Saccharomyces cerevisiae S288C: one gene and its partner. Changing the gene in region 2 together with the main gene of any one other region gives a genetic interaction. Each region holds a gene or a part of one and is shown on either strand. Other genes may lie near its edges.

Region 1 (8,337 bases), on a different chromosome or scaffold from region 2:
TCCATTTTGATTGGGTTCACCGTAATCGGAAGCAGTCAGGATCCTCGAAGAACCACCGGATAAAACACTATTTGAACTTCTGTGTTTTGTAATAGCAGCAGGTACCTGCGTCTGCTTTGCTTGCGAAACTTGTGGATCGTCGTATATACTAGCGCTGAAATTTTGGTTATGAGAAGCCACCCTGTTGTTACGACCATTTGCTTCACTTTTCATTAATGAAGAATCGGAGATTGACGGCGTATAATCATCTTCGTCATCATCATCCTCATTATTACTGATTTCAGGCGGAGAAATTGTTCTCGTCTCCTTCAAACCTAACTGCTTTTCCTTCAATACAGAGGATAAACTTCTGGTCACTTTAATTTCAGGTTCGTCATTTCTTGGTATGAAACTAACATCATCCGAAAAACAAACGTGTTTGTTATTTTTCTTTTTACCAACAACTGCTGCTGCCTTTTTGTTGCTGTCCACATCAGGAAAAGTTTTAGGAACTACGGCACTCGGTACACTCATTCCACCAAAAATGGATGACTTTTTCTTTGTACCAGATGAGGTGCTGGGCGATTCTGCCTTCTTGTTATTCTTTTTCTTATCATCTGCCTTGGACTTTTTCTTTTCCTTCTTCTTCTCTTTCTTCTTTTTCTTTACAGCTTTATCTGCCTCTTCACCTTCATCGACAACTCTTCTCTTCTTTGTGTCCTTATTGGATTTTACCTCATCGGGGCCTTGCGTAATATATTCCATGGGTAGCTTATAATCATCTTCTTGCTCTGATGGTACGGGTACATTGAACTTTCTTAAAATACTTTGAGCTCTATTATTTCTGGGATCCAGGAAACCCGAGCAAGCATATGCAAGACAACTTCTATCTTTTGCATCTTCAATCAAATCTCTCCATAACTTGCTTTTAGCCAGAGACCTTTGATGTCCCAAAACCCAAATACTTGTCTTGGCTCTAGTCAGAGCCACATTCATACGACGAAAGTCCTTTAAAAAACCGACACTAGATTTCGTATCATCGGCACGGACACACGATATCAAGATGATTTCTTTTTCTTGACCTTGGAAACCGTCGATTGTATTGAAATCGATTGATTTGTTGATCATGCCTCCAAAATAGCGGGCAAACTCTTTACGCATTTTTTGCATTTGCTCTCTATAAGGTGAAATTATACCGATTTTTCCCGTGAAATCAATTTTATTATCGAATTTTCTGAAAAGGTAGTCAACTAACTCAATGGCAACACGTATTTCCTCCATATTTGTATAAGACATAGTCTTCGCATTTTGTTCTTGCCTACCACTAATGATGTCAAAAAATTTGTAGGGAGCTAATGGCTCAAGCTGGTGCCAGGGTCTTTTGTTCAAGATATCCATACCAGGGCCGTCTTTTAGTCGTCCCTGATAAAATTCAGAAGAGGGGAATTTACTGATGGAAGGATGCATACGGTATTGAACATCCAGCAAGTATGGGGAGCTATTTTTCTCCATTCTAACGAACAGTGACTGATTGTATTTAAAATTGCTTGCTGCACCTGAAAGAACAGTTGGTGGTAGTTGGTTAGGATCACCAACCATAATACAACGCTTCCCTCCATACCTGAGAGGAATAATTGAAGAAAGTTCGGTACATTGACATGCTTCATCTATAATGACCGTATCAAATTTAATACCCATTGTTGCGAGTACATCATGGGCTGAACCAGATAAAGTCGAACATATGATGTCACTAACCGCCAAGATATGGGCCTGTGCATTCCTTCTATCCAAATCCCTATTCCTATAATTTACGGAATTCTTCTCACGCATTTCGTCCCTATCACGGCCAAGTTCATTGATTATTTTACTTAGCTCCCTAATCTTAAGTTGTAATTTACTGATATCTTCGGTTGACATTGGACTTTCTGGATTACCACTCTCAGAGTCTAATTTTCCTCTCAATTCTCTTCTTTTAGTCACAGCATTATTAAATTTACGTTCTAGTTCCGGATCTGTTCTGATTTCGTAATTCCTTTCACCTATCCTTTTATCCACAAGTTCTTCTAAAGTAAGGTCCTTAATTGCAACGTTTACAACGTCTGACCTACCTACACGGACCAATTGAGGTTTAAATTGATGCCCCTGCTTGTCATACACTCCACTCTTCAGTCTGAGGCAGATTTCGTCCACAGCGGCATTACTGGGGGCACAGATTAGAATTTTTTGCTTTTTTAACAGTTGTTCAGTATTCGATGAGTTCTTTTCTAGTGGCACTTTGATGACATTTGAAGATGAGGCATTCTTTGTAGACAAAAAGTAACCAATAATACCCAGTATAGTCTTTGTTTTACCCGTACCAGGTGGACCCTGAATTAAAGAAAAACCTTCTTTAGATACCGAATTAACGATGGCCTCAGCCTGCGACGTATTGAGCTTATAGCTTTTCTTAACTGTTTCAATTTCTGCCGCATCCACATTTACGGGAGGCGATGGTTTAGCCTGTAGAATTTGGCCAACTAAGTCATAGTATTCCAGCCCTTCCAGTGTTGAATACTCTCTTTCAATAGTCGTCATTTGCATAACCTTCACACAATATATCTCTGATCTTAGTGTCAAAAATTTACTGAAAGAATGATTTCTATGAATTCGTAATGTGACATCAACATTACCACCTTTGGTATTTTTCAATGTTCTCACCTTTGCTAAACATGTATGTTGTGCTTTCTTGAAATCATCACTGGACAACCTTTTGTCTGGTCGAAAATCGGGTAAATAAGCCATTACAATTAAGTCAGATTCAGAAATACCACAATCCTGTATGACTTGTTTAGCGACAGAGGCATACACATCATAGAAATCTGACACAGCAGTTCGATTTCCTACAATAATACTGAAAGGTTTATAGTCCTCTCTATCACGTGAAGAACATAGACCTTGCCAAGATTCTAGAAGTAGTAAAGGCTTCATGACTTTTTGGTAGTCAGCAGGAGAGTTGAAGAAATCCTTTACGTCAGAATAATTACCAATAGGCTCATCATCAGGATATTCACTATTTCTGGTGTAATCCCATTGCAATATGATTTCATATAGAGGGTTCATATCAACATTTAATCTCTTTCTCATATGTTCTAACTCCTGTTTAGCCAATTCAGCCGCAGTTTGTCTCTTGACAACCTTACCATTAATATCGACAGTTTGTATTCCTTTGCCTTTTGCCTTAGCAATAGCAAAAAGCTCCCGAGCGCTTTCTATATCGTTGTCACTCTCCTCACTACTGCTATCGTCGTTTTTGTTAGACAAACCCCTACTCTTTGTATGGAAAGCTGGCGCACTAGGTGGATGAACAACTCTGTTGTTTAATAATTGCATCCTAGCTAATTCCATTTTGGATAAAGGCTTAACAGGTTTTGTACGATGCAGTTTAGCATTAGCTGATGATTGGAACGTACCAAAAGATGTTATTTTAGGCTGAGCTACTCTTGGTCTCCCAGTTATTGAAGAAGATAAAGCTTTTCTTTGTAAATAGTCTGCCCTGGATTCAGCAGAAGAACTAGCAATGGTTGAAGACAGAGAGGGCGAGAGGGATGGTGACGCCGGCACAGAATCCGTTAAGTCGATCACCTTCCCAAGTCTTGATAATTCCTTTTCTTTTCTGTAGTTTTCAGCTTCTGTAGCGACCTCTTCCGTGAGTGCTTTATTGAATATTTTAGCCTTTTGTAGAATCTCACTCGCCTGTTGCTCCGTCAACTTATTTGAAAATCTCTTTGCCTTCGAGGCGTACTTGGCCATCATTTCTACCAAGGAATCATCCACTTTCACATGCTTTTCATGTGCTAAATCAGACGTGCTTATAATTAATCTAACACAAGATTCCAAAAGTACTTCGTCGCTCAATCTCAGCCAATACAACATATTCTTAAAGGTTTCTAAAACGTTGAGAAGTAAATTTTTCGTTTGGTCATGAAGAATATCTGAAAATTCTCTAAAGGAGTCCACCAAAGAGCGACTTAGATCTAAAGTATCTTTGGTGAAATTTTCCAGTTCAGAATAGTCATATTTAGAAGCCCATTTCAAAGTAAACTTATAAATCGTATCCAAGAATAACCAACATGATTCCCAGAATTTTAAAAATTCCTTTTCGGTATTTTGGCTCTTCAAAGTTTGGAAATTAGCAAACACACCAGAAATCGGGTCTACAAATGCACTCACTACGTCCATCAAAACACGAACAGCACGGGGGCAAGGCTCATAGAATTCACAATTGATTAATCTTTGTAGCATCACGTTTATATTCTTCAAGTTAACGGTCAAATTACTATTCAGAATCGCTAAGATACCTTCCAGTCTACCCTCAACGTCAAATGTATTGTATAAAATATTAGTAGCTGCTTGATACAAGTGTTTATCAGAGGAGAATATGCAGGACCAAAAACCCTGCGATGCATCTTCATCCGCAAGGATTTTAGACAGTTGACCGGGCAAAATATCCGCAAATTTTTCCATTAATCTCGTTGATAGCAGCAAAAACTTCTGATTCAATGCGTTGTGTGCCTCAGCTACGGCAGTATTTGACGGTACTATCAAAAGACCATTAATATTTTTTAAAGATACTAGCAGCTGTTTGGCCAGCAATGGACCGTCATGAAAAGATCTCAGGTCAATTTTATTTGTAACATTTTCCAAGACGTTGGTTGAAATTGGAATTTCGCTAATTGGTTTACCTGAATAAAGCTTAAACGTTCGATGACATAATAACAGTATATCAAAATCGATACATTCTGCCAATACCATCATCGTGGATGTGGCCACCGATGCAGAAGCAGCACCTAGCCCAGGATAAAAGTCGTTAGGATTCGAAGCTGATCTAATTATTATGTCTTGGATCAAAGGATTGTTGAGCAAAGCTCTAGAATCTGTTTTAGTCAACAGTACTGTTTCAAATTCATCATTCTTATAAAGCATTGCCCTTTCATTTTCCTTAATAGTCAACACAGCCCTCAACAAGGCAGTTGCTGAATTCATTAAACAAGCTTTGGGAATGGATTTTAGGGATGGATAATTGGCTATTATACGCAGGAACGCCATTGAGACCTTTCTAACCATTTGAATTCTTTTGGATGGTGACAGTGCATGATAAAATGGTAAGGTCCAAGAAAGTAAATCGGTTACAGAACCGGTAAGTTGAAAGTAAACTTCTGTTTGATGCTCAACAATTGGATTGTCTTGAATTTTGATTAGTTTGATTGGGAATGAATCTCTATTGAAAATTATATCCAAAATGCTATGGAATGTGAAGGGTTCAATTTTGGACCAAAACTCGGAGCCAAATTTATTCAAGAACATTGTTAATCCTCTTAACAAAAAGTCTAGTGGCTTATCATGATATGATTTGCTTAAGTGATTGTACCACATTTTAAAAATTGGCTCTAACGGAAATTTGAATGTTTTTTTTAAAGATTCCACATTTTTTGGGACCTGAAAGTACTCTATGAAGACGTCTTTATCAAATAAATTGAAAACCGGTAGTAATCTCGACCAGAATTGAGATACCACAATCTCTGTCCAGTTTGCCGGATTCTGTAAGAATAAAATATGGATATAAACTTCCTCAATAATATCCGGTGTCAGGTTAGAAAGATTTATATGGAAATTTCTTGAGTATAAATCCTTTAGAAAAGCTCGTGACCACTCATTTTCCTCTTTTGAACCTTCACACCAGCAAAATATGACACCTGATATAAAGGTTTTTATGCTTAATGGATTCGTAACGTCCAACAAACGATGCTTTGTGTCGTAGAAAAATTTGAAGATTGCTTCGAAAGTAGCCTTAAGTTGCTTGTTAAGCCTCAACATATGCGGATTACAGAGACACTCGTACATTGCAGTTTCAATTTCATTTGTAATGTTAATTCCCGTATTATCGTTAACGGAAATATTTCTAAGAATAGGAAAAACAGCCTCCACCCTCCATTGGCATACGATGTCATTAAACTTGGCTACATGTTCATGCGGCACATGTCTTTGAATGGCAAAATGTTGTAACATTTTGCACTTCCCTCTCGCAAAATTTAGAATGCATTTATCACAAACAGAGAGAATTGGATTAAAATGATTCTTCAGCCATGTGGCCGTAGCTTCTTCATTGAATGAGAAAATGGTTAGGGAAAAAATTGATATTGGTTCAAGTATGGGGTCGCAAAATAAATGCGTACCCTTGGGAACTTCTGCTAGAACTTGTAATAACTCCCCTAATAATTTTGCCTCTTGAATATTTGGATTTGTGCCTTGATAAACTTGTTCAATCTGAGGAATGTAAGACTTTGCCTTGGTATAGACGGTAGCTAGCTGAACATCGCTATTGGGGGCAATATCCTTATCCTTATTATTATTATTAATGTTGTTGCTATTATTATTATCAGGATTGTTGGAATTCATTTATAATAAACAGATGCGCTTTTTTATATATATAGAGATAGATGCCATACAGAGATGAAGTAGAAAATAAATGACAAAGTAGAGCTTTTTTGTAGGTGTAGATGATAAGATTAAAGTGCGGGAAGCCTTTAAAGTGATCGATTATTCGTTCCTATGAAGCTTCGTAAACTTTTCTAGTAGGTTAATATGCAGGAGAAATGACCTACACTAGAGAAGAATGAGAAAATGAAAGCTCTATAACTTTGAAACAAAAGGAATAAAGTTGCAAACGTGCACCTACAAAATAAACCTAACCAATGACCTTTTGTTAGAATTCCTGATCTCATCAACTTCTAACTTGTGGTTAATTTTTCAAGATCCTAAAATATGCGAAGAAAAATATAAATAAAAATTCATTCAGGGTTACCTTTACTATGTAACGCGTTTTAACTAAAAGAAAGACTTATTTATGCTTGCATAAAACTATATGATGAGGACAATTATACATTGGTCACATAACGCTTAGTGTTTTGTCAAAAACATTCTTTTTCCTGTGGGAAAGCAACATTTTGTTTCCTTTTTTGTTAGTGGACAGGTGAACATGATTCACTTTCTAAGTGCATTATTATCGCCGCCGTCTTATGTACATTACATATAATCAAAATACATCTTTCCTATAAAAAGGACTCACTTAATTTTATCATTAAAAGTACAAAAAATTTTCATTTTGACAGTTCGCCAATTTTTTGTTCCAACTTTAACAGGCGCTCATCTTTGTCAAGATTTGCTTTCGTTAATTTATCAACTACATCTTCTAATTGCAGAACCAATGTAGATAGTTTTTCGACAGACTTTTTTAAACCCAATGACTTAGGTGATGTCCTTGCCGCGGATGGCTCTTCCTTACTGCTGGCAGTAATGGCTGTCTTAGCAGCCGTAATTGAAGAAGGAGGTGTTGCGGATTTTTCCTGCTCAGGGGACTTTGTTTTCTCAGAGGACTTCTCTTCTTGAGGTAAGCTTTGCTCCTGTTTTCTATCTGTTGCGATAGACACTGGCTCTGGCTTCAATTCTTTTGAAGGTTCGACCTTAGGTGTGCGATCCTTTTTAGTTTCTGTTGGAGTGACTGGGGTTTCGATTTTGATAGGAGCTGGCTCATCATCGGCTTCTTCCCATCCGGAGGTATCCCTAGACGGATCTTCGGCGTTGTTAACTTGATCAATATCGGAGGATTTCTTCAACAACTTGTTGATCGAATTATCTTCCTTTAATACATGGTTGATTGTAGAAGATGAGGAGGCCGACTTTAGCGGTGAGGGAGATTTTGGAGCTTCTTGTTTCACCTCCTTTTCGGATTCGCTGATTGGCTTCTCCACTTTAGGCTGCTCCTTTTTCTCTTCAAGAGCTGTTTCTTGAGTTGTTGGCTGTTGAGGTCTTTTAGCCTCATGAAAGCTTGGTGCGGAACCGTCATAGATAGATCTCATACTAACGAGAATTGGACCTTCAACAGACTTGCCAGAAAACCACTCTTCAGCAGTTAAAGCTGGCTTATTGGAAGGTGCATCCGGGTAGATATCTTCTTGGAACTCCTCTGATCTCCTTGGAACAAAGAAAGATACCGGTTCGATACGCTGATCAACGACAGTCTTGAAACCTTTTAAGACTTCGTTTTCTTTGACGTTCACCATTCGCTTAGGCGCTACAGCAAAGCCTCTCTGTGCTTCTGTGGATTGGAATTCAGACAACTCAAACAGCTCGTCGTTTTGAAATTCGTAGTATCGAATATTACCATCACCTTTCCCCACCAAGTAAAGAATCTTATTCCCTTCGTCATAAAAGGGCATCAAAATACCTGATGATTGGTCGACAGTGTAGAAGCCTCCCAAATCTCCCTTTTCAATGTTGAAGGCATCCCAAATACCGATTTGACGATCACTCAATTTTGAA
Region 2 (5,044 bases):
GCCTTTGAAAACCGACAGAGTTACTGATGGTAACGTTCTGTGCATTCCAACATTAGAAGATGGCACTGTTGACATCGATACTAAGGAATGGAATTTTATCAAGACGTGGGAGTTGATGCAAGAGTTGCCAAAGACGGGCAAAACTAAAGCCGTTGGTGTCTCTAATTTTTCTATTAACAACATTAAAGAATTATTAGAATCTCCAAATAACAAGGTGGTACCAGCTACTAATCAAATTGAAATTCATCCATTGCTACCACAAGACGAATTGATTGCCTTTTGTAAGGAAAAGGGTATTGTTGTTGAAGCCTACTCACCATTTGGGAGTGCTAATGCTCCTTTACTAAAAGAGCAAGCAATTATTGATATGGCTAAAAAGCACGGCGTTGAGCCAGCACAGCTTATTATCAGTTGGAGTATTCAAAGAGGCTACGTTGTTCTGGCCAAATCGGTTAATCCTGAAAGAATTGTATCCAATTTTAAGATTTTCACTCTGCCTGAGGATGATTTCAAGACTATTAGTAACCTATCCAAAGTGCATGGTACAAAGAGAGTCGTTGATATGAAGTGGGGATCCTTCCCAATTTTCCAATGAGCGCGCTACATTACAGTTAATGCCTCCAGCAACCTGTAGTGCTTCTTTAAACCGATCCGATACAGCTGAAACAAACATTGATTTTACTAATTTTCATATAATATATACACATATATCGAATGATAATGCAAAATATAATTTAATGAAATTGGAAATACTCGGAAAATTTATCATTATCCTTTTCTTCTTTTGAACGTAAACTTCGGACCGTCGTCATCGTCGTCGTCGCCATCACCGTTATTAGAAGCCCCAAAAGAGCCACGTGATCTACTAGTTGCGCTTCTACTGTGTCTACTTTGCTTGGAACATTCTTCTGACAAGTTTGGCCGTAAGTTCATTTCCTTCACCACAAAAAGATTACGATTATTTTCTCTGTGATTTAGTCTATCGCTTTTATCATCAATATCACCCAGATCATCTTCATCAGTAATAAAAATTTTGTTTTTTAGTGGTTGAACGCTGGCTGCAGTACCTGAACAACGAGAAAAAGAAAACGAATCTTCTTCTCCTTCATTTGAACTATCCTCATTCGTGAATCTGTTTAGAGCTTGAGATCTTTTCTGGATAGTGTTTGAGTTTATATTATCGGACATAAATGTATTCGATCCAAATCTTTCCATCTCCGTCAAAGCAAACATATCTTCGTTTTCTTCTGTGCCCCATTTTGTAGTTGTATCCTTTTTGGAGTATTTTTTTAACGGAACATAATTTCTAGTGATTAAAAAGGCTGCATTTCGTATAAAATCTGAGCTTTGAGTGTTATTTTTACCCTCTTCTTTGTGCGCCTTTGATTTTGGACGTACCTTGACAAAAGTCTTGAAATTCTTGCGTTTATGCCATTCTGGCTCCATTAGGCTATTTTCCCATTTTTCAGTTGTTCTGCTTGTTTTGTTTCCCTCACTATCAAATGATTTCCTCAGTAAATTGTTACTAGGTTCTACAATAGCCAAATTTTTTAGCTGATTAATAGCTTCCTCGCTCAACTCCTCATCCTTCAATTCAACAATGGTTGACTTAACTCTTTTGACCTCTCTATTTTTAGTTTCTTGAATAGCTTCAACAAATGCGTGCGGCGTACCAGATTTCTCTTTAATAGATAACTCTTTTACAGGTGACTTACAATTTTCTTGTAATGGAGATGAAATTTCTCGTGAATAATTAGAAAGTTTACGGATGTTTTTAGAGGGTTGCTCTATATTCTGGTGATGATTCACCCTAAAATTCTTAGTAACTTCAGCATCATCCATCGAATTCACAGCAGCTGTTTCATAGTCAGCGGAGTTCGAAGATATGGTTTGAGAGCCAATCCCTGCTACCTCCGGCAATGACGGCTGTGGTAACTTATGTGACTGTAGCGACTTATCCAACGAATCCTCACTCGTGTTCACAGTACCTAAGTTGGGGCTACTGACAATTATAGCACCAGGGCTACTGTGACCACTTTTCTTTCCAATATCTTCAGTCGGCTTTAGTGCGTTTTGAAGAAATGGGGCGTGCTTTTCATCTGCCTCTGCAATGTTGGGACTTGAAATGACAGTCTTTGATTCTGCGCCACAATTAAGTCTCTTAGCGTCAGTTAAAGACCTATTTTCTGATAGAGTCTTAGTACTCAAACCTCCAGCAAAAAAATCAAGACTATCGAGTGGTAGTACTCTACGTCTATTTAATTTTCGCTTCTTCGAGACTACTGGACTAGCTTCAACTTCAGGTGCACGAGATGTTTTCAAAATAGTAGACATTCCTTCAGAAATTTGATCAAATTTACCGTTATCTAGAGTTCTTGAAGATGCACCCTTCATATTAATCACTGCGCTTAAGGTGCCATCTATTATTGATGTTAACATCGTTTTGATAGTACATAGAATTTTCCCATTTTCTTTCTTATCTGTAGTTGTCAAAATCAGGTATTCTGTTGATGCTTCCAAGCTGTCAACATATTTATATAAACTATCAATGTTGTCAAATGCAAATAAATTTATATTGAACGTCCGCAGGAGAGATGATAGACGTGGTTCACTTTTGATAGTAGTTAACACTCTGATATTATTCAGCCTCATAAACTTCGAAAGCAAAATATTTGGATCAAAATCAAAAACATTGTACTCCGGATTACTAATCATATCGTTCCACATTTCATCAAATTTTAAATTAGTTTTAGATGTGGGAAGAAGAGTATTACACAATTCCATCAGAAACCGTGATTTTTTCATGGGTATAGTACTAACAAGGGCATACAATTCCCGTATGCTGTTGTCCTCGCTCTTTGGGTAATCGCTAATCATCAGATTAGCGGGAATATCATTAATAGAAATCTCAGTGGAGATACCATATTCAGAAAGCATCGTCCTGAATTGTGTCAAATGAGGAGGAATGTTCCAGACTTCATTTATCCATTCGAACTCTATACGAATAGGAGTTGTACCCAGTTCAATTATTGTGGACTTTAAAACGTCCGAGGCATTAATAGTAAATGTTTCGCCAACTTTCATGAATTTTTTATTTAATGATGTCAATTTACCCTTGTTAACTAAACACAGGCTACTGTGTTTCAGATCCGAACTATTATTGATTTCCCATTTGAATGTGATATGCTGTCTGGAAATACTTTTATCATTTTTAATTATCAGTGGGTTTTTACTTGATCTACCTATACTATAAGTTTTGAAGGCCTGAAGACAACATGATATAAAGCTAATAGAGCCATCTTCCAATGTATTCTGGTATCGTACTACCCACATAAATTTATAGTTATCACCTTCTCAGTATTGTTGCTCATCTATTACAAAATTCTGCTTATTTGGTTTACGCATTGCTTTTCATAGAAAAAAAGGGCTCCCCATATAAATTTAAGAAAAGTACTAATATTTAGCGTAGTTAACAACTTTACGAAAATGAAAATGAAATATTTCTCGGAAAAGTATTATATATTATACACGTCTCTACATTCCAAATAATTCTACGTTTCTTGGAGTAGTCTTAAGTTTAGTGATGACGATGGCGTTGTTAGTATCTATACCGATTTCAAATGATTCTGGTTTTGTACTGCTATAGTCAGAGATATTTGCCTCCACCAGCTTACAAATTGCTTCAATACAATAATGACACCATTCTACCGCAATTTGGGCATTATAGTTAAGTTCCTTTTTATTTGTAGGTAGACCTGGGTGATTGAATTTCTTACATAATAAGTCCCTTGAGTACCATTGAATGTCTAGTAATTGACCGCTATGACTGTCCCTCAAACCTATCATGATATCTGAGTTCGGTAATAAACCCGTCTGTACCCACGTTTTCAGAAGTTTTCTCCTATGATTGGAATTGTGCATTGATAATGGGGCAAAACACTTTAGTTCTGTGTTTGTCTCCGAAACAGGATTGAATGCATCCATTTCGCAGCGAATTAAAAGACCAATTTCTTCTGAAAGTTTACTCTCTACAAGAGAAAAAATAGGACATTTAGAGCCAGTTAAATCAGCGACTTTGGAATTTTCGGTTACCCAATTTTCAAATTCAAATCCTGAATAGCAAATTTTCTTCATATTTGGATCATTTGAATAAATGCCCTCTTTGGACATTTGAGAATCTTTTTTTACATTTCTGCAAAATGAAAGAAGGCCCGCCCCCATATAAGTTACAATTAGTGACGTTTGTCTATTTCGCCTGTTAAAGAGATGCATAGTCAAATCTACGATATGATGTCTTGTGGTTACAACAGTAAATTTCTTGCCGATCTTAAAATCCTTACCAGGATTATCTAGTATCCAGTTCTCAATGTATGAAAAACACGGTGATACACTATCTAATTCGGATATTGTCATGGGAACGAACTCATCAATATTAGCAAATAAGTCATGGCCTAAATACGGGACTTTCCGCTTTTTTGCCTCAAGAAGCGAGCTTTCATACAATTCAGCAATACTTTCTTTCAAATTTGGTATAAGGTCTTTGCGTAGGATTGTATAAGCCCGGCCATTGGTAAACAGAGCTACTTCTTTACTTTCATGAAATATATCTCTTGGTGGTTTCGTCAAAAAATTGTGCATACCAGTATGCAGAAAAGACGTATATGGGATACATATAAGTTTCGGACGTCTCTTTCTATAATTGTCTCTCTGTTGTGAAGGCTTCCTTGACGAAGATGAATCAGAAGTAGTTTTCTCTTTGCATAATTTACTTTGGTGTCCTCTCTCGAGATTGGGCACAGTAAGCAAATTTATACCTTCTAAATCTTTGGCCAATCCAAGAACAGCATCTTGTTCAGTTGACATAACTGAGTTTGGCTAGAAAGAAAACTTTGACATAAAATCATCGATACCTACAACTGGCGCTGTAATGCAACAATGCCATTATAAAAGTAAAACATGCTGCGAAAATTGCGGAAAAACTGGAAAAATCAATAGTGGGGTAATCCCAGTTAGTTTGACACAATAATTTGGTGATTTTGGTGGA

The links. A genetic interaction does not mean that the proteins touch.
Region 1: mutations in XRS2 (region 2) and SEN1 are lethal when combined (synthetic lethality), as found in Saccharomyces cerevisiae (2 studies listed by BioGRID, with this or other methods).

The regions. Positions count from the first base shown.
Region 1 is NC_001144.5:991,511-999,847, reverse strand, and holds the start of SEN1 (DNA/RNA helicase SEN1), read right to left. Parts: upstream 6,415-8,337; coding exon 1-6,414. Other genes in the region: CRN1 (coronin), read right to left, coding at 7,116-8,337. UniProt on the Saccharomyces cerevisiae protein: ATP-dependent 5'->3' DNA/RNA helicase required for the expression and maturation of diverse classes of non-protein-coding RNAs like precursor tRNAs, rRNAs and small nuclear (snRNA) and nucleolar (snoRNA) RNAs.
Region 2 is NC_001136.10:1,214,248-1,219,291, forward strand, and holds XRS2 (Xrs2p), read right to left. Parts: upstream 3,334-5,044; coding exon 769-3,333; downstream 1-768. Other genes in the region: trifunctional aldehyde reductase/carbonyl reductase (NADPH)/glucose 1-dehydrogenase (NADP(+)) YPR1, read left to right, coding at 1-595; DXO1 (Dxo1p), read right to left, coding at 3,535-4,863. UniProt on the Saccharomyces cerevisiae protein: Component of the MRN complex, which plays a central role in double-strand break (DSB) repair, DNA recombination, maintenance of telomere integrity and meiosis.